Medicago truncatula: one gene and its partners. The protein of the gene in region 2 binds, or shares a complex with, the protein of the main gene of each other region. Links are inferred from orthologs where the notes say so. Each region holds a gene or a part of one and is shown on either strand. Other genes may lie near its edges.

Evidence for each region.
Region 1: the proteins of E3 ubiquitin-protein ligase COP1 (region 2) and transcription factor HY5-like are in contact, whole or in part, in a crystal structure (PDB 6QTT), measured with the Arabidopsis thaliana proteins. The link is inferred for Medicago truncatula from reciprocal best matches to the Arabidopsis thaliana genes COP1 and HYH. Residues at the interface, in NP_180854.1 of Arabidopsis thaliana: Ile373, Ser375, Tyr441, Trp467, Asp484, Lys505, Ala506, Asn507, Cys509, Ala526, Asp527, His528, Lys550, Ala551, Ser553, Thr568, Lys593, Asn594, Phe595, Phe646, Ser648; in NP_850605.1 of Arabidopsis thaliana: Leu28, Leu29, Met30, Val31, Pro32, Asp33, Met34.
Region 3: the proteins of E3 ubiquitin-protein ligase COP1 (region 2) and cryptochrome-1 are in contact, whole or in part, in a crystal structure (PDB 6QTW), measured with the Arabidopsis thaliana proteins. The link is inferred for Medicago truncatula from reciprocal best matches to the Arabidopsis thaliana genes COP1 and CRY1. Residues at the interface, in NP_180854.1 of Arabidopsis thaliana: Ile373, Ser375, Val391, Lys422, Leu423, Ser424, Tyr441, Trp467, Asp484, Asn507, Cys509, Ala526, Ala551, Ser553, Thr568, Lys593, Asn594, Phe595; in NP_567341.1 of Arabidopsis thaliana: Glu544, Asp545, Gln546, Met547, Val548, Pro549, Ser550.

What each region holds. Positions count from the first base shown.
Region 1 is NC_053048.1:27,045,249-27,052,788, forward strand, and holds transcription factor HY5-like, read left to right. Parts: upstream 1-4,519; 5' UTR 4,520-4,656; coding exon 4,657-4,771; intron 4,772-5,746; coding exon 5,747-5,942; intron 5,943-6,885; coding exon 6,886-7,042; intron 7,043-7,162; coding exon 7,163-7,210; 3' UTR 7,211-7,404; downstream 7,405-7,540. Other genes in the region: probable LRR receptor-like serine/threonine-protein kinase At5g48740, read right to left, coding at 1-40, 572-1,112, 1,513-1,588. UniProt on the Arabidopsis thaliana protein: Transcription factor that promotes photomorphogenesis in light. Acts downstream of the light receptor network and directly affects transcription of light-induced genes.
Region 2 is NC_053046.1:37,990,166-37,997,728, reverse strand, and holds the start of E3 ubiquitin-protein ligase COP1, read right to left. Parts: upstream 3,013-7,563; 5' UTR 2,889-3,012; coding exon 2,571-2,888; intron 1,682-2,570; coding exon 1,604-1,681; intron 1-1,603. UniProt on the Arabidopsis thaliana protein: E3 ubiquitin-protein ligase that acts as a repressor of photomorphogenesis and as an activator of etiolation in darkness.
Region 3 is NC_053046.1:28,059,084-28,066,546, reverse strand, and holds the start of cryptochrome-1, read right to left. Parts: upstream 3,022-7,463; 5' UTR 2,676-3,021; coding exon 2,357-2,675; intron 1,725-2,356; coding exon 1,506-1,724; intron 439-1,505; coding exon 1-438.

The DNA of each region.
Region 1 (7,540 bases), on a different chromosome or scaffold from region 2:
ATCACTGTTCCATATTCTGTCATATGGATCCATAGGGTACCTGTTTTTTAGAAGCTAAACCATGTTATCAAATCGAAATTCAAATCATGAACTAGAAGACCTATTTTCTGAATTGTGAATAGAATCCTCTTACGAATCGTAAGATACATTACCGATAAAAATATGACATTTTAAACTAAAAACATGTGACAGCTATTATAAGTTGATATATCATATTCGAACCTTAAAATAATTGAAGATTTAAGTCATAAATCAAATGACAAAAGAAAAGTGTCTGACTAAAAAAAGTTGACAAAAAAAAGTGCCTGACTATACTAAATTTAGGTAACGATTCATTACAGTGAAGTGAGATTCATCGTAGTGAATCGGAGTTCATCGTAATGAATCAGGATTCAGCATGAGATTTTTCCGAAATAGTTGCACACTAGAGATTCATAGTGATTGGACTCGGTTTTGCATCGAATCGAGATAAAACTCAAATGCATAATAAGATACTGCTAACCATGAGCTAAACCATAACTGTTCATAATAAAATTAGTTGCATAATTAGAAATCAATCTATGGTTCATACCTTATAGACTCATTGATGTGTCCACAATCAACTCTATAACTCATCCTAAGCAATTTATTTGGAAAATTTTCCTTGCCCTTTATGTAGGAACCTTTAGGAAGTGGTCTAATTTCAAGTAAAGAAATTATAGGAGAACCACCACTTGGAATTGAATTCAAACAGCATGCCAATGTATCCTTATTGACTTCCCATAGAAACTCTTCTATCCATGGATCCTTTCTAGCTAGATTTATCTTAGCAGCAATGGCTGTCCCAAGAGAAACATAAAAAATAGGCGGTTTTCCAAGTCCATCATAGTTCTTGTACACAAATTTTGCTCTAACAAGAATCAAACTAGTGGCATTGCTCATTGGTATCCGATAGCATGCGCGACGTTTGGAATGAGGGAAGAACCGAGCTGAGACATTTGTTGACAAGGAACCGTCATTGTAATTGATGGTGGTTGTTTTTCCTGTGGTTATGTAAGGAGTGTCTGAGAACCATGAAATGTTTGATGAATCATTGAAGCTTGTTGTTCCACCACATGATAGACTCAAGAAACCTGTTACATGAAATTCAACAAGAAAATAGTGAAAACTACTTTCATGTTTGTAATCTAATAGGCTTTGTGAAAGATATTAATATTCAACAAGTATTGAACTTAGAAAAAATGGCCATGAAATCATGAGTATATAAGTTAGTGATGAACTTTTCCCACCCTCTAAGATACTACGGATGCACACATTCGGAAAAAACGTAGTTTTTGTGTTGTCCAGATGTGTACTTCTGAACAAAAATACTGTTTCTCCTTTGAAAATGCACACTCTCAGGTCCGAGGTCAATACCACCAGGTCAACCCAAGTATTGAGGATGGACAAAGATTTTTCTATAAGTTAAGATTGAATAATGAAAAAACATGCTTAGAAAAATGTCATTATCTTATAAAGTTGTATAAGACATACCATCTTGTCCAGAGAAAGCAACAAACAAGAAGCTATGAAGCAAAAAGAAGATAGTCCATGAATTTCTTGAATCCATGAATTGTGATGCATACTATAAATTCCAAATGTTGTGTTTATCTTTTACAGAATCAAAGGAAGAAAAGTGTATATAAATAAAAGTAGTGTGACTAGTGTCATAGTTGTGTGTAATGATGAGAAAGAACAATTGTTACAACATTATATGAAAGAAACATGATAAAGCTTTAAGGAAGGGAAAAGAACACTAAGTGTAAATTCAGGAAAGTGTCTTGGTTTGGTAGAGTGATCAAGTTGTTGAGCATAGAGATGGAGAAAGGAAAAGTGCATAGTTGAGGTTATGATGATTAAAGGATTGTAGAGTCATTGAAGATGGGAAAGTTATTATATTATTTTAATTTGTTTCTTTAATGTAAGCTTTAACTAGATTTTCCTAGTACTTCTAGTGCAGTGTTCCTTTTGGAAACATTGGGAAAAAAATACCTTCCATATCTAGTTTGAATAGTGTTTTTTTTACATTTTTTATATTTTAGCAAATGAAGTTTGAATAGTGTTATTTATAAAAAATAAATTAAATTTTCTTTCAAAAAAAAAAATTTAATTTTTAATATAAATATAGACGTCTCAAAGGAGTGGTCCAATGATTTAGGTTGAAACATTGAAAGAGTTATATGTAGAAGGTGGAGGTTTAAATCTACTTTTAACATTTATATATTAGGATATACACCCTCCGATCACTATTATAAGTAAAAACCCAATTGTTTGTTTCATTGAATAACCAATGAATCTTGTTTATAATATTGACTATATACATCAATCATTTTTTTTGAGCAATGTCATCAATTATTCATGAAACCCAACAAGTAAATTTTTGTCTATAATAATGACTAAAGAATACATAGGGTTAATGGAGATCTCAAATACAATGTGGCAACAATAACATTTGATTAAGGTTACATATTTAATCAAACTCATGCTAAAAAAGTTGTTTAAGATTTTTTATAAAAATTAAAAATCATTTAGTTAATGCATCTTGATACAAAAATATCCTTTTTTTTATTTCAGAAATTATTTTACCAATTTATATTTTCAAAGCAAAAAAGAGTATACATTTCTACAAACAATTTAAAGATATAATTGAAACAAATATAAATTATATTTTTGGTCTATAAAAGAAGTATAAACTATTACTTCTGAAGGCTACCTAATCTTCAAATTCAATGCTTAGAGTACAAGTCTTGATTAACATTAGTGGTACTTGATTGGGTTAAATCATTCATGTAGAAAATAGGTCCTTCGTATCAAAGTAACTTCTAAAGCACAATTAATGCATTGGCCCTTCATATTAACAAATAATTATTGGCTAAATCATGTTTATAGTTTGACCCAGATTGGTAAATTAAATATTTTTATCAGGATTGGAGTGTATTTGTATACTATATTTATAGTTTTAGCTTTTAAGTTAAGAATAAAGATCGGTAGACACCCTTAATGTGTATATCTCTTTGTGTTACTCTCGAAAATTTCAGTTAACCAAATATATGGTCGGTGTGACCATATTTTTTCAGTTGTGTGACCACTATTTAGAAGCTGAAAAATGTGGTCACGCAACTAAAATACGCGTGACCAATATTTTTCCACTTAGTTAACCAAATAAATTCTGAAAAAAAAATAGTGGTCACTCAACCAAAAAAATGTGGTCAAACAGACTATATATTTAGTTAACTGAAAATTTTCAAAGTGATACAAAGGAGTGTGCATATTAAGGATATCTACCTATCATTGCTCTTAAGTTAAACTCTGCCAATCACAGGTTTTGTTCCACAACTAAAGATGAAGGACATTCAAGTGTCTATGCATGGTACCTCACACTAGATTTTTTTGATGTACCCATTGTTGTGTTTATAAATTCGAAGCATTGCTATGAAGACATTATTGGGTAAAATTATGTAAGATTTTTAATTTGGAAATTTAGATTCAAAGAAAAAGAAGTTATTGGAGAAAGAAAAAGGAAGAATGTGACATGTCTATATGAGTTATCCCAATAGTAAATCCATCATATTTTACTTCGTTAGCTTTTGTTTTACTCAACCTTAGCATGTTCGAATATAAAAAAATTTAAAATTTATATTTGATCAATGCATGGTAGGATTGGTGAAATATGTTTTAGCTTAGAGTGAAAAAATTCATTACTTTATACAATCATTAATCTACTGAATTATTGTGTCTAGTCGCTTTGTTAATTTTCTTATCATTTTGAAACAAATTGTAGTCGGAACGAGGCAAAGTGATTACAAATTAGAATCTAAGTTAGTGAAATCAACAATATCATAATTAAGCACGATGGAGGTTGTTTAATTTGAAATAAAATTTATTTTTATAAAAGAAAGGTACGGTTGACGGCCGTGGCTGAGTACGAGTTTTGTGTCGAAGCTAGGTGGTTGGTAACGGAGAGTATTCATCATTGTATAAAAAAGAACGTTGAAAACTACTCTCTCCGTTTCAAAATATAAGCAAAATTCACTTTTTTAGTTCATTCATTTAATAATGTATGTGGTCTATACATGTTAGATAATGTATTGCTAACACTAATCATGCAAAAACTAATTTTGAAGTTGGAACGTTTACATGACTATAAAAACTAAGTCGTGGTAAAGCTATATAAGAGTTGTATGTTCTCATACCCGGTTTTAAATATAAATAAAAGGAAACAAATATAAACAAAAGAAAAAAAATTAAACAAAATTGATCTATATGATTAAAAATTTGAACCATATGCATCAACTTTGTTTATAAATGATTGTTATTTTGTTTATTTGTAAAAAAGAAAAGATTTTCGTTTTAAAAATATTTAATATGAAATAGTAATTGGACGTATTGTGTAAAATGAGGCTACAGAAACACGTAAAACACAGAAGAAAGGTTTGGTTGAATGCACATCAACGTGTTCATTTCTGAACCAAAACTCTTTTAGGCCCCATCACTCTTTCAAAGACAATGTTTCATCATGAAAACATTTCAACACAACCCAACATTGCAAGTGCATTAACATGTTACACACACACACATTTCTTTTTTGTTACTTGAAATTTCTCTGAGGTATCATAAACAAATCATAGAAAACAAAACATGTCTCTTTCAAGAGCCAATGATACTGAGATGAAGGAATCTGCAACAACAGGAGCACCTTCATCTTCATCTTCTTCATGGAATAGGTTACCTCCTATGCCTCCAAATAGATTTGGTAAGTGTCATTTTCAATTTTTTTTTATTATTTTATTTTATGCTAAAGTTTTTTTTGACTCATATTTTATCCTCAAGTTAAGGTCTTTTATTTTATTTTATTTTTGACATAATCCTAAGTCAAGAGTTTATCAATATGTTATTAAAAAAATATGATAAACTAATCCAAAGTCCAAACATACAAAGATTCTTCATAAAGTTTGTCAAAACAAAAAAATATTAAGTATATTGTTTTTTTTTTTTTTTTCATTAAGTATATTGTTGGATTCCGATCATTTAAAAACAACTTGTTTCATGAAAAGTAAAGGTATATATATATATATATATATATATATATATATATATATATATATATATATATATATATATATATATATATATATATATATATATATATATATATATATATTGTCATGTAGTAAAATTTAATTGTGAAGAAGTGGAGTGTCCAAGGTTCGAACCCCGATCCCTAAATATAAAATACAATATCCCTACCAACTGAGCTAAACTCATGGATAGTTGGTCCATATATTAAAGGGCCCTTATAATATACACGCGCATATATATATTAAATTGGTCTAACATTCTACCCAATTATACTTTCATAGCATCATTCTTTTTAGATATGATTGAATCTGTATAAACCGTTTTTATATCAACAATTTGACAAATTTAGATTATCCACAATATCATATCAGGGAAGTTTATCCACATTCATATGATCGATACATCAATAATCATTTGATTGAGATGAAATAGTATAGATTTCAAACTTATTTTATCAATACAAAATTGTTACTTTTAAATTCTTTAACATGTAATCTTAGTACACAAGTTAGTTATTATAACTCTTTAAATTTCATTTGACATTGTATGCAAATTCAACTTAGTCCATATTAAACGTGACATGTTTTGTTTTTACAAATACTACTAAATATGTCATGCTAATAAGTCATGATTTTTTTACAAATTCCAGAAGATAGCGATGAAGATCTATTTGAAGTTCCGGATGTGGAAGGTACACAATGTCAAAGTGTCCATTCTGAGTTAACAAATCAAAATAGTAACCACAATCAAAGCAATGTAACTGATGCTCAACTTCAAGCTGGCTTCCCCGGAAAGCGCCGCCGCGGAAGAAACCCGGCAGACAAGGAACATAGACGTCTCAAAAGGTAAGGGACATAAGTTAACACAAATTTTAACTATACCTTACACCCTATAGTCACTATTATAAACAAATAATCACTTTTTAAATTCATTGAATAACTGATGTATTTTGTATATAATATAGACTTTTGAATTAATTTCTACATTAAATTATCAAACTTGTCACTAAGAAGATTTGGATACATATTGCAATTAAGGTGAGGTTTAGCATGGGAAAGCTATTTTTTTTCCACCATGGGAAAGTTAGTTTTTGACCATTAAATCAAACCAAGAACACATCCTTATCATACTCCCTCATCACTAGATTTTGTAATTTTATTATTTTAAAAACAAAAAATATATTTCAAAATTAAAATAAATATTTAAAAATAAAAAATAAATTTAAAAATATGGAAATTAATTTTCCAAAATTTTAAAAAATATAAATAAACTTTTTGAAATAAACTTGTTTTCAAAAAATTTAATTATGATTTTCGAAGATTAAATTTTTGTAATTTTCAAAAATTAATTTCCATATTTTTTTAGAATTTTTTTATTTCGAAAAAAATGTAAAAATTTCTGAAAATATTTTTTTTTGTATCAATCAGACTTTTATTTTTAAATTTATTTTTTTTATTTTTAAATGATTATTTTAATTTCGAAATATATTTTTTATTTTTAAAATAATAAAATCTAGTGATGAGGGAGTATGATAAGGATGTGTTCTTGGTTTGATCTAATGGTCAAAAACTAACTTTCCCATGGTGGGAAAAATATAGCTTTCCCATGCTAAACCTCACCTGCAATTAAAATGTTATTCAAGAGTAATTAAGTTATTGAACTCAAACGGTTCAAGAAGAATCATTCATAATACTTAATTAGAACAATTTTAGTCCAATTTTACATATCTTTCAGCCGAACTGCAGACTATACTATTTGAAACTAATAAATGACTTATATTACAAATAGGTTGCTAAGGAATAGGGTCTCGGCCCAACAAGCCCGTGAAAGAAAAAAACTGTACGTGAATGACTTAGAATCAAGAGCTAAAGAGTTTGAAGATAAGAACTCCAATTTAGAAGAACGTATCTCAACTTTGACCAATGAAAACACCATGCTCCGAAAGGTAACATAATCTGAACTAAATATGTTTTAACAAATTGTTTGTCACTTACTATTTACTATAGAATTATATAACATCATGTTGATCAAGTGAAAATTTATTCTATGATATTTACTTGTACAGGTTCTTATGAACACTAGACCCAAAGTTGATGAGAGCAATGAAGGTTAGACAGGGATATAAGGTTCTTCTAAATTAGGGCATTGTTTATGAGGTAGTATTATATACCTCACTCACATGTGTACCACTATTACTTATTTATAAAATTGTGTAATTCATTATGAACACTAGTATTATTTCCCAAAAAAAACTGATAGTTTACATTTTTACTTTTAAATTGTGTAATTCATCAATTATATTTAAAATGTGCAATTGCTTGATAAAAGTAAACAAGCCCAAGCCCAATAACTCTGATCGCTTCATTTGACCAACAAAAATTCCAATTTGTTGAGGATTCATGGTCATCCATCGGTTAAACTCTTAATCCCATTAACTTGATGG
Region 2 (7,563 bases):
AAAACTACACGGAGTTGTCAAAATGGTGGGTCTTGCACTGGTGTTCTACTTATTGTGGTTGGGTGAAGGTGGGTCTGGTTACATTCACAAATCAAGGCTATAGACTATAGTAGACCCACGACTCTGCTCCAATAACCCAACCAGATTCACAATCACGAGCACAGCCACCAAGAACTCACCACTCGCCCCATAACAAAATCCACTATACATTGTTTTTTTTTGTTTTTTTGTTTTTAATTTTTTTCCTTTAGGTTTGGTTCTGTACTGTCTCTGTCAAACATGAAAGAGGGTAAAGGAAAAATGATGCAAATTGTGGTATTATTGTTTATGAGGTGCACTTTTCCATTAGAACAGAGAATGATGGCCCTTGTTCTCCTCTCACATTAGGCTTCAAAATAAATTGTTTTCCTATTTATTGGCACGGACGGTCGGTTGATAGAAAAGGCAGGAGAGGAGGAGAAAAAAGTAGCATGGGAAACAGTGACTTGCAATTTAAAATAGTATTATTCTTAACCATCTACTTTGATCTAACGCCTACTGTTTTAATTAAGGCTTAATAGCAGTTTTAGCCCCCTAACTTTCTCAAAGTTGCGATTTTGGTCCCCTAAGAAAAAAAACTGCAAAACCGCCCCCTAAGTTTTGCAACTGTAGCAGTTTTGGCCCCCCAAAGCCAATTTTTTGTAATAAAAATAAAAATAACATGTGGCACCTCACTTAGAGTGCCACGTCAGTGTAGACCGAGTCAAATTGGTCTTGGGGGCCAAAACTGCCACAGATGCAAAACTTAGGGGGTGGTTTTGTAGTTTTTTTTTCTTAGGGGGCCAAAATTGCAACTTTGGAAAAGTTAAGGGTCTAAAACTGCTATTAAGCCTTTATTTAATCATCTCAACAAATGAATGACGTAAATTAATGAATCAGATTATATTTCCTCTTACAAGAAACTGGCACTGCAGGCAATACAGCATTCCTCCCTTAAACTTTAGATTAGAGGCCGAGAACAGGGGAACTATTAGTATCATTCTCTTTCGTTATCTTTTCTGGAACATCAAAACTTCTTGTAGAATTATATTCATAATTTAGTGGAACGTGAACTGCGCGATCAACGGCCTGCTATTGCTTTATCAAAAAACAGAAGAAGAAAAACAGCCTACTATTGCAACAAAAACCTCTCACTGTTGTACAATTAGTATGGTAAACAAAGGAATTACGACAGTTAAAAGTTAATCCAGTTTTGTTTAACCACCCCTGTTAAACCCATACATATCATGTCAAGTACAGTGAAGCACTAACACGGATACCGGATACGACAATGATACCGACACATAGACGCCGGTAATAATTTGAAAAATGGAATTGATACAGTGTAACCACATACATGTTGTATCAGTGTTGGATACAGACATGTGTCATACACTGGACTCCGAAATGCAGATGTTACATAGGTCATGTATTCCACATTGTACTCAAAACGAAATATTCATTGTTTGAAATAAAACTAGAAGCAAAAATGAATTATTAAGTAAAACAAGATCAACAACAACAAAGGTATAAGTCACCACAAAACAAACTGCAAACCAATACAGGTAGCAAGAGTACAACCAACCTTTTGTATCGCCTGCCGGAAATGCTCCACGGGGGAAGCAGTCTTCGATATTTGACGATCCGACGTCTTTTTTAGTAGCTACAAATTGGTACAGAAACCGTTAACAATGAGCTAGAAACCGAATTCATTCATAAAACAAGCAATTTCCTGGGTGTTAGGCTCTATTTGGGTAAACAGTTTATTTGCAACTTATAGCACAAGCACTTATCATTATAACTGCTTATGTATAAGCTTACATTAGCAAAAGATAAAATAAAGTTAAATTGTTTTTCTATATGCTATTTCCATAAGCTATATGGAGAACTTACTAAAATAAGCCGAAAAAAGCTTATGAAAATTGTCAGAAAGTTGTTTTTATAAGTTCTCCAAAACATTCTCATAAAACTAATACCAGTAGAGAAGCTCAGATAAGTCAATCCAAACAGGCATAAATCTAATCTCAAACACAATTCCAAAACCGAAATATCACAATTCAAAATGCAAAATATCAATTAATCTCTAGCAATTAAACAACAAGCATTGTGAAACCGAATTCATTCATATGTTTGGAAAACAACTTAACTTGTAGCTTATAGTATAAGTGATTATCATAATAAGTGCATATGTATAAGTTATTTCTGCAACAAAAAATAAAATAAGGTTAAATTATTTTCACATAAGCTATAAGCTGTTTTCATTTGCTATATTGGAAAACTTACAAAAATAAACTGAAAACAGCTTATGAACGTGTAGTAAACTGTTTCAAAAGTTTTTCCAAGCAGTCTCACAAGTGTTTATGTCATTAGATAAGCTCAAATAAGTCAATCCAAACAAGCCTCAAGTAGTTTCTAAATCTTAATCTAAACGCAATTCCAAAACCGAAACATCACAATTCAAAACGCAAATTATCAATTAAACACTAGCAGTTACTAAATTCATAGCGAAGAACACATGAACACGAATTGCGATTGTGATTACGATTGCGAACCTTATCGAGTAAGAAATTGGGAAACAAATTACTATTGGTAAGGTAATGACCACAGCAAGGACAATCACTTTTATTCCGAAGATGAGTAATAATGCACATGTAACAAAAGCTATGACCACAAGATGTAAGAAACGCGTCTTTGATAATCTGCATACAAATCGGACATAGAAAGTCTTTATCTAATTCCGTCATAGTTGCGATCGGGAAATTGTCTCCACCGGCGATGTCGCCGGTGACGGTTACGGTGGTGGAGAGGTTTTTGGATGGTTCGGGTTTGACGACGGCGGGAACGAGTGGTCCGACGGAGTGTTCTTCCATGGTGTGATGTGAGGTTTTTGAGATGAAATGGTTTTGATGCGTGTGGTGGTGATTTGAAGAGAAGCGGGTTTAGAGTGGAAGAAAGTGGGTCCAGGAATGTGATGTTTGTGAGGGTGAGATATTTCCACGTGATTGATTTGATGCTATAAGCTACATCACAAAATGCTGGCCTCTTATGAATTATTGTTAATTAATGATGGAGAAAATATGTCTTCTCTCCGTCCTAAAATGTAAGTAAAAATTAATCAATAGAAGTTAGTGTATTTTGTGGTGGTCGGGGTTAAAACCTCTTACATTATATATAGTATATATTGTCTTTATCAACTGAGCTAAGTTTACGTGATGACGTGATTTAATTCATGTTTTGGAATGACATCTGGTTGTCATTATTGTATAGGAGTAGATGAACATACATAACTTCACATGGTATAATGCATGACAATAGAATGTTGAGCAAGCACTTTTAGATATGTATGTGTGGACTGTGGTATGAATCTAACAAAGAAATTTGGTCAATGAGAAGATTTTACATCATCAAGATGCGAAGTGCAATACTCTCTAGAATACAGGTCAAGATCCTCTCCTTAAGGTAATCTAAAATGAGATCGTCTCCTATAATACATATCTACTTACATTGCATTCTTACTAATCTAAAATTATTGAGTTTCTACTTAAGGTAATCATGTGTTCATAGAAGGAAATTTGAAACCAGAATGGGTTGTTTGATTAGATAGGAATAAATATGGGAAGCGATGAATGAGAAGTATGGTTCTTCTACCTCTTATCCCATCCACCATTGGAATCTCTCATGCTTTCATTTAAACAAACACGTTCTTAACTCTTAAGAATTTCCCCACCAAATTACCTTAGCTTATGTCATTGCACTTAACGGCTTCCATGTTGATATCCATTTTTTAAATTCAACCATGTGTTTTCTCATGCATAACAAATTGATGAATATATTGATACATGTCTCATATACAGATTTCGTACCATATGGAGTACCACATGTTGAAAAAATGAAATATAATTATCATTAAGTAGTAAATCAAAGAGAAATATTAGCACAAGTAAATTGACTCTCAATAAAACAAAATAGAGTATAAGGAAAATAGTGATTGTGTCTTTCTAACCTCCATACCTACAATGTAGACTTGCTGCTTCAACTGTTGCAAACCATAAAATAATCCGAACAAAAGAAACGTGTCTAAAAAATTTTAGTAAAAACAATAATATAAAATAATTACAACTTTAAAATAAATTACAAAATAAAAGGTGTAACTACTAAAAATTTACAACATAAGAACACTTTTTTTTTAACATAAAAAAACACTTGTGACCACATACATAAGTGATGCTAGTTGTTTACCTCACTCCGACCGTACCAATTTAATATGTCCCCAAAGATGATGTTATCTAAGATAAGAGGAGTATCTCTTCGACAATGTGATTGGGTTTTTCCTAAGGTTGATAGCTTGTTTGGTTTTTCTCTCATTCTATTCGAGGGAAAAATACGCACCTTAGATTGTTTGTAATGACTTTAAACTTTCGAAAATACTTCTATTGAAAATTACGATTAGAACATAGCAATTGTAAATCATAACATTGAATTTCAATTTTAATCTTATGATATCGAATTTGTACGGTGATTATAATCAGAAGATCGGTTATGTTTTTAAAAGTGATGGTGATTGACGATTGTGTTGATGGGAATGCTTAAAAAGCATATTTCATGAGCTATTTTAAGCATATCAATAACTTCATCCAGGCATAACATAATTTACCTGCAAAGGTATATTGAAAACGGTTCCTAACTACCATTGACAAAATCTCGAACAATCCCTGGCTACCGTTCACAGGTGAACGGTTCGTAACTCCTAGTGATGATATTTTTGAAAGTTTTAGGTGTTTGTGAGTAATCCAAGGTGTTTAAAAGCAATTTTCATACGAGCGAAGGCTACATGCAGAAACTGGGCTGTTAAGGGAACACTTCGGTGGATAAGAGGGCCCATAAATGTTTTTTTTTTTCATTTATAATTTTTTTTTTGACAGGAGATGGTTTTTTCATTTATAAAATGTAAGTTATTTGTGTTAAAAAATGTCTCTCTTCATTTATATTCTTACTTCGGTGGATAAGAGGGCCCATAATTTTTTTTTTCATTTATAAATGTAAGTTATTTGTGTTAAAAAATGTCTCTCTTCATTTATATTCTTTACTATACTTAAAAATGACTAAAACAAAAACCCTCTCTAATAGATAAAAAAATATTTTGACAAAAAAATACATAAAAAATATTATATTCAATTTACTTGTTTTTTACTTAATTGTATAGCGTGGACAGGAGTATGATTTTTCACATGGTGCCTTTAAAAAAAGAGCGGGTCCTCTAAAAAAGTGATGTAAAATATATAAATTTCAAATGAAATGGCTTAAAGATTTTCACAATATAATTTGATTTTCACATTACAGTAAATATTACACTGTTTTTAAATATCATTTCCAACACAAAATGGAAAAGAAAAGTCAGCTTCAGGTCTTCATATTGAGTTTTGTTAAAATAAAATTTTAGTTTTGATGTCTAATGTTTTTATAAAAATAAAATAAAAATTTCACATTCATAAAGAAAGAAAACAATCATCACTTAATATTATATTACTATTGTACTGATATCTATATATGTTTATCATTAAAGTGAATTTTATAAATAAAAATTCGAATGATATCAAGTTTCTCTTTTTTAAAGGAAGTGAAATCAAGTTTCTCAAATTAGTTATGATATAAGTTTAAAATGAATTTTAGTCTCCATGTAGCTTTCATAGAGACTACATTGTTTATTACCTATTGGGTAAAGGGGGTAAAAACACAATTTTTTTATACAAAATTTGTAAAATAGAGATTAAAATTTTATTTTTTTTTTAAACAAGAGATTAAAATTAAATAAAAGTTAAGTAAATAATAAAATTAATAAAATAATATATATATATATATATATATATATATATATATATATATATATATATATATATATATATATATATAAACACACACAGCAAAAGCAAACAATTTCTATGCCCAAATCCGCCTTTGAACACAAAATCAGGACCATAAAAAACTTAAAGATTAATTTCTTAAACCCACTATCACATTGCTCATTGATAGCATTTGTTCCAAACAATTTTTGTGGTTTGTCATAACTCCATTGATATGAGTCTTTGAGACATGAGTGGAGCCACTTTCCATGAAACTGTAGCATTTCCCTTTCACTGGGATCAATTAAATAATGCTTTGACTTTGACCAAGTTGTTGATTCTGCTTTCCACTTAAATGTCAACTTTTTAGTTTGGGAGTATTCTACTTGGAGCAAATCTTACTTCCTCCGTTTTAAAATATAAGTAAATTTTACTTTTTAGATTCATTCAATTAACGATGTAAAATATAAATAAATTTTATTTTTTAAGTTCATTCAATTAACGATGTATGTAAAATTTCTTATATTTTAAAACGGATGGAGTATTTGATCACAAGTATAAATATTTTTTTAACAAGTATAAATAAAAGATATTTAAACACACATACAAATAATAAAAGTATTAGTCATATTATTTATTTATTATTATTTTTTCATTTGTGTATGTTTAAATATTTTTCATTTGATGTTGACAAAATAAGATTTACCTAGTACTATAGAAAAAGGGAAAAGGGTGAGAAAACTCAAAAGTTTTCAAAAGAATCGAGTAAATGCAATGGATGTCCCTAAAAAAATAGTAAATGCAATGGATCTGAAATAGGTGGTTAGCTTTGTGAAAATTCTAAGATGACTCCGTAAAAATGTGTGTATAATGGGCAATTTCTTGTCTGATGTTTATGCTTACGTTAGGTGTACTTGGATTAGGTTTTTTAGTTCTTTTTTTAAAATTCTAATTTAATGTTTTTTTGTTACAAAGCTAAAGAGAAAGAAGTAGAAAGAAAAAGAAAAAAAAGAAAAAAAAAAGAGAGAAATTTAGCTCTACATAACTAAGTTTCCATAGAGTCTGTAAAGAGGAGGTCTGAGATGCCGGTTGGATGGAAGAGATGGACCATAAGATCAATGCTAGAAGAAGCTTCAAGTTAAGGATGTTTACACAACTATTTTCTTAGAGAATATGAGTGATGCAAACATGTCAATATATATTAGTGAAGAAGATCTTAGTATACTTGTGAAGCCTTGGCGTTTGATCATGGAGTATATCGATGGAATGAAGAGAATCAATGAAACAAATAATGTCATGGTAATCCAATTGCTTAGTCAACAAAGTCTTTGATGAATAGCATGGAGCTAAGCATGAAGAATATTAAATTTCTGAAAGAAATCCCGAGAAACTAGAGATCCATATCACGGAAGGATGATGAAGCAAACCATAAAATCCAACTTTGACACGGTTGCCAAGACATGATGCAATCAACATTAAGAATGGTGCAAGAGGAATTGAAGGAATTCCATTTGATCCGTCTATGTTCTTGTCTCGTAGAGAACTAGAAATGCAAGAGATAAAGATAAGAGTTATATTACGAGCTTCCATGATAAGACGGTAATAAAAGATAAAAGCATTTGAGAAACAAAAAGAATTCTCATTTCGTCAAGACCACCAAACACCTGCAACAGATAAGTTAGAGCCGAGGGATAATGTGTTTTTT
Region 3 (7,463 bases), about 9.9 Mb from region 2:
AATATCCTTCATTCACCACCCAAGGGAAAAACTTAAGGTGTCCAAGTAGAGGCCTTTCATGACTATAAGGGTGGTTGAAACTAATGTACCTTGAATACTCTCTAAGACCAATTGACTTGAGAAACAAGTTAACACTTTCTTCGCCGGCTTCATTTCCTTCATTCGCCCAAAAGACTTGTTTGATTCGGACAAGATGGAATACTTTTTTGACACTAACTTCTCCGAAATGCAAATGTGGAGAGAGAAATGAGGTTGTGGCACTGTCTGCTTTCCTTCGATTCTTAGAGTACTCGATCAGTGGACCGTTTATGAAGGTTGTTAATGCCTTGTTTGCATTACTCCACCCTGGTGACCATGCTCGAGCAAGAAGTGCGTTGCTCGCTTTCTCTAAATCGTCTTCAAAAACCAATGTATCAGAAGGACACTTTGATACATCACCTGAAACATGGCAAGAAATGTTTAATGAAATGCAAATTAAAGTCAAAACATGAAACATGACAATACAACAAATAAAATAGGCAAGTACCAACTACCAAGTACTTGAAATTTTGATCATGAACTTGGTTCTTTAATAAATATAAAGTACAGCCTTTGCTAGTCCCTTAATCAGCTCTCTGTTGCACTCATTTACTTTAATGGCACTTTGAATAATCAAAGAACTAAGAATATCTGTAGAGTTTCTTTAAACAAACATATTTTTGGATGCAAACTTACACTTGCAATGGTATTTTCATAGCGAAAAATAGGGGTATAATTTGAAATTAATGAAACACAAAAGTTGCAGGCTAGCCCAATTATGACTTAGAAGCAAGTTATAAAATTCAGTAACATATGTGTTGAACCTTTATATTTAATTTTATTTTTGTAAAATCATTATACATCAACATTGGAATTTGGAAGGACTAATAGTTAATCAGGCACAATGATTTATAGATCTGTAACTGCATTAAAAAAACCCTGTCTTGTTAAATAATATGATTATACTTTGGTGGCTCCTCTAGAGTAGACCACTTTCATAGATTGTACATGGTTTGGTTATAAGTGAAAATCTTCTGAAACACCAACGACAACCGGCGTTATCATCCAAAAATAGAAGCTCGTGATCTCCATGTCCTCACCTCTGAGACGTATACATGGCCAAGTGCCGAGTTTCGAGACAGACATTCATTTTTTTCTTCTTATTTTTGTCGAACCAGCACAGATTAAGTCACGGTCTCAGACATGGTTAATGTTTCAGACAATTTTCAATTATCGATCCAAAGTGGTCCACTGAGGAATTTGCCTTATACCTTTGCATCTTTTTGCTATGTTACAAAAGCAACTTTTTAACAGATAAAAGCATGTATTCCTTTCTCGGTATGGATAATTTGTTCAATATTCCAGAATCCAAACTAAGAACCACAAGAGTTCTGTGACTCATGCAGCTGGCGAACAATCAAATAACAACTATTGTCAAAAAAGTCGGAAAAAAAGTGAGGCTAAAAAAGGAGAGGAACAAAGTAAACCTGGAATAATTCTTTTAGGTGGGAGAAGAGGTGCTTGTGGGTCATAAGGCATGCTAAGGCATCTTTCCCAAAAAGAATCAAAAGTTGTGAACGGTTGGCCATTTTCATCGTTCACATCCCATGGTTCATACAATAAATCTGAGTTGAACGAACGTACGGTAATCCCTTGAGCCGTTAGAATTTCCTTTGCTCTATGATCCCTTACAAGTGACAATGGATCTGTAACATAGAAATTTGCATGATAACATTTCTACACAGTTTTGCAGCCATAAAAAACAAAACAAATATCATCTCAAATTATAAAGCAGCTTATATGAATGAAATTATCAGAGACATACACATCACAAACTGATACGAAAAAGAAGAAATTATAATCAAAGAAAGATTTTACAGTTTATTACCAAATAATAATGGAAACTAACAACTCAAATTGCTACAACTACCAAGGATTCTAGAGTTTGCAATGGTGTTGTCGATATTACTAAGCAAAAACTCGGTATCATATGGAATAAATCGTCAATTTAGTTCCTAAACTATCACTCTTACTCTTATTTGGTTCCTAAACTGCAGAAATATAATTAGTAATCCCTAAACCATTTTTAATGCATCAAATTAGTCCTTTAAAGCAATTGAGGGAATAATTTAAGGATTACTTGTCATATTTCTATATTACAAGACAAAATTGAAGATTTAGTCTTATCTTATTTCAGACATCAAAAGCTATATCAATTATACAAAACAAAAGAAACAGGATAATCATATAAAAGAAATTGAACCAGAAAGCACAAAATCATGCAATATCATATAAAGTAACAAAAATTAAGATAAGATAAGAATAAACAAAAACTGACCATATAAATGGTTGAAGAAGATTTGAGTGGCTCCAGTGGATTTAACAACTTCCAACAAAGAAGAAACACTATCAGTTGATCTTTTGGTAACAAGAGGAGTACCAAGATTTCTCAAAGATGAATCAAGATGAGCCAAACTATTCTTAAGCCACCATCTTGAAACCCTACCAGGATAATATTGTCCTTCTTCTTCAGGTGCCCATATAAAAACACCAACTACAGCACCTGCTCTAACACCTGCTGCTAGTGCAGGGTTATCCTCTACCCTCAGATCTCTTCTGAACCAAACTATACTGCATCCACCACCACTTGATGACATCTTCACACAAAAAAGGAGTTTTTCTTCCTACCCTTTATTTGTTTTCTATATTGATGAAGATTTTAGGCCATAAAGAGATGAAATACAATGAAAAAAAAAAATGCAGAGTTTAATAAATTATCCTTTTCCAAAAATATAGCATAACTTTAAGAGTAGTTTTGTTTTCCAAGAAATTCTAAATTTGGTTGTTTTTTGATTTTTCACTCAAGTTGCAATGAGAAAATAGTGACACTGAGACAAAGGTCCAAGGAGAGAGAGATTAGAACAAATGACGAGGATTGGTTGAGTGGGGGATACATGAAAATTTGTAGAGAATTTGCAGCCACAACTTTTTTATGCTATGTAGATTTTTCAATATTTCTATTATCTTATAACATGCAACAAAACAAAACAAATCACATCCACGTCTCTAGTTGTTTCTTCTATTTTTGATATACCAAGTGTGACACATAATGGAGAATCAACAAAATGATAGATACATAAACTATACCTTAGAGATATATAAATTATAAAATATAAAATTATAAATAAATAAAAAATATTTTCTTCTTTAGCATATACTTACATGTTCCAACTCAGAAACCCACATGGGTATCCTACATTATTATCATCACTTCACAATCCAACACAATCTAACTCTGTGTTCGTGCAGTCTTTTTGCTTTCTTTTATATTCCTAAAATCTCGTGAGATTTTGGAGATTTCTTTTTACTAATTATAGAATCAGAAATCTTTTATTTATGTTCTTGTTCTTGTCTAATCAGAATAAAGAATGAACATTTTTTTCTTTGGAAACAATAAACAAAGAGATGATACGTTGTTTATTGTTGTTTGATTGTAGTTTAATAATTATAACGTTCCCTTAAAGATAGTCATTTATAACATGTTCCCTTCCTTACCCTACAATTAGAGGTGGTTACTTTGTTTGTACTATGATACATCACTAATTGAACAATGGGTATTTCTTTTCAAGAAATTAAACGAATGTTTGTTGGGCTAACATGCATCTTAAAGAGCACAAGGTAATTTTTAGACGTGGCTTCGCTTTGGTCTAACATTCGATTGTTAGATCAGGGTTATTTTTTTGACCTAAAATTATCTCTATGCATTTTTTTTCATCTTTCTTTCGATATAAATAAATGATATCATCGTCTAAGTGTAGCGTTGTGTTATTCGTCATCTTGTGCGTCGTTGTTTGATTTTGCGTCTTGTTGCAGTATTTATATATGCCTAAAAATCATATTTATTTATAATGATAAAAAAGTTATAGTTGCATCTGATTCCAGGAGTCATTTTTCAATTTTACTAGCCGATTTACAAGGAACAGCAAGTTATGGGAAGTGAAAGATATCAGATTTGGTATAGATATGTTGCAACCAAACTACTTAGCTTATATTATTTTCTTTTTCTTCACCAGGATGTGGGAATTATGCTTCTACTATCGACTCTTCACGAATCTCAGATTCCATTCACGGGTCGTTTTTATGTGTCAGTCGTTTATGCTTACTTGCGCAGTGAAGACTGACTTTAAATGTTGTCCAGGTAAGAGTAAGACAACAAATTTTAGAACCACACGCAGACAAATTTAGATCAACAATTAGTAATAATCTTGTTGAAGATTGCATGGATGTGTCGGAAATAAAAAATAGGGGAGAAATATGCGTACATTTTCTTTTTGCTAAATTTGATATTTAGTCTATTAACTTATTTGTTGTTTTCGTTTTGGTCGCATAATTTATTAACCTTATGTTTTGGTTCTTTAACTTATACTTCCGTTAGCCAGATAAATATTTGCTGTTAACTTTTGTCAAAAAATTGATAGAATTTATCACCAATCCTAAAATTCATCACATTCATCATGAAATCTAGAAAATTCATCATCTACCTTCATTTGTTGGGATTAGGCCTAAATAAAAACAGATTTCATAAAACATGTTCAATCATTATGAAATAGTGGAAGCAAACAAAACATTGAACATAATTATGATATAAACTACGACATATTTGATTCATCAAGATATTAAGAATTAGGTATTAGGAATATATGAATGAAGCTTTGATGACAGTCCTCTCAACATCAACGATCTGAAAGAGGAGAAATCGCGATCTGAAATACACAACATAGAGTCGGTGGCGGCTGATTTGATACTTCCTCAATCGGTACCTTTATGCCTCTAGTTCTCATCAGATGGAAAAGGGAGAGTTTACCGTGTACGGTATATCGTGGACCATAACCTCTTATAGTGTGATTTGCCATTAAAGTTTCTCAATATTCCGTTGATGGACCATCCAAACATCCACTCATAGAGTTCATATCAATTATTTTAAATAATTAATTATCCAAATAGAAATCTAATCATTCTTGTTACTTAATTTGATCACTATTAAGGCTCCAAATTGATAAATAGTTAATATAATTATTACAAGATATTTGCCCACTTAATGACAATGGAATATAATAAAATAATAAAATATTCCAACAATCTCCTACTTGTGCTACTTATCTTAATAATTATAATAGAATTCTTTAGGTGCGCGACTGAATGTTATTTATCTTTAGATTTCTACTCAACAATCTAGCCCACCTCATACATTAATAATAGGACCACCGCAGTTGTCGTCATTGACATATAACGTGACGGAACCCCGGGGACCACCATATCAATGCACTTGATGACATATATCGATATGGATGAGTGACATGAAAATTTCAGTAATGTGATCTTTAAATCATGTCTATTTCCAATTGGTCAAACTAAAGTCTTTATTGAGATCAAACTGAAATTTTTAAATTCAATATTTGCACAAACAATACCAATATAGTTATAACAATAATAACCCTTTAACAATATGCAACCAAGTGACATAAATATTTACAGCCGTTTCCTGAGTTAGGATGTCTATTATTTACAGACATCTAAAAGTCATAGTCTAACACACTAATGAACTCTAAATTGTTAGATTTCTGGTGTGAGTATAAACTCTCTTATTCTCTTTAATAATTCTTATGGTTGCCTTTTCAACAATTCAAATTTTGAATTGCTCAAGTATCTGCCAAACAATATGATTATATAAGTTATTTCCAAATGCATATAAATAAGACTATACACAATATTTCTATAGCCAAGTCATAGAAAAATACTTGATTTTCAGAATTTATAAATTTTCTAAAGGGCAATATTTGAGATTATCTTGGTGTTCGATGTCACCCATAAATTATGTCATTTCATTTCAACTTTATTAATATAACTCTTTTGTGATATTTGAATGATACCTTGAGAGGAATCTCTAAGTATCGAAAAGCCTAATACAAAAGAGGTGTTCCTAAGATCTTTCATCGCTAATTTTCATTAGAGATTTTATTGGTTTAACATAACAAACATATTTCATTGTTGACTAAATAAAATAAAATTGATACACTAAAATAGATATATAAATTTACTCCCACTGAGCTTACAAATCCACAACTCTCCTTAATATAAAGTCTATGTCTGGTATTTCCGGAGGACACAATGTTGAATTCACCTCCGAGAAAAGTGGTAACCAAGGGAGCACCTAAAAGGGTGAAGTCTACACCAAAAACGAGGTCCACGAGTCGAATCCCCTCTAGGCGAGAGAGTATTGATTCTCAAAATCCTGATAGTCAATGCTCAAAAGCCAATAGTAATGTTCCAAAGAGTAAAGGTGCACGTCTTGGCACTTACTCCCTCTCACAAGTTTCAACACCTACTTCAAAACCAAAACCTTATTCGAATATACCATACATTTCACAAATTCCAATGATCATGAGACCTTACATTGAAGACATTGTGAATGTTAAGGGGGATGATAATTGTGGATTCTGGGTCATAGCTAGGCACTTGGGAACGGATGAGGATAATCATGTTTTGGTTCGCCATGCACTTATTAATGAGTTGAAAAATCATAAGAGTGACTATTTGCCGATATATGGTACCGAGAAGCATTTTAAACTTATCTTGGATGGTTTACACCCTCCAACAAGTAGAAGTGGTATTGCGCCTAGAGATGTCAAAACGGGCGGCCCGGCCCTAGCGGGCTTCTGGCTTTAGCGGGCTGGGCCAAAAAGCCCAGTTGACAAAACGGGCTTGAAATATACTACCCGAGCCCGACCCTACACGGGCCGCGAGCTAAACGGGCCGGCCCGTATTAAAAATTATATATATTTTTTTATTTTAAAAAAGTACTATAAAACACTACTATAATTTTTTTATAAATAATATTTTTAATATGTTTAAATAATGTCTAGCACAAAAGTAAATTGTAATCATTTTCGTACAAACGTCGTAAACTAAAACGACGAGGAAAATGATTTTAAATAAATTAGATATGTTATGGTTATAGATATTTATATATTCGATCTTTAAAACTATAAATAACGAAATGAATAAATATAATTTTATATTACATTTATATTTGTGTTAATTCATTGAATTTTCATTTTTGTTTTTTACTTTGATAATCAACTAAGTAAATAATTATTTGAAAAATATATATAATTTATAGAATTTTTTTTTGTTATGCGGGCTAACGGGCTACCCGCGGCCCATTCGGTCTAACCCTAACGGGTACCGGGCTTTTAAGGGCCGGGCTAAAAAGCCCTATCAAAATTCAGGCTCAATATTTTCGGCCCAAGCCCTATATTTATTCGGGCTAAACGGGCCGGCCCATATGGGCCTGCCCGTTTTGACAGCTCTAATTGCGCCGGAAGACAAGTGGTTGACGAATATGGGTCACATTATTTCTACTTGCTACAATAGAGTCATTGTTA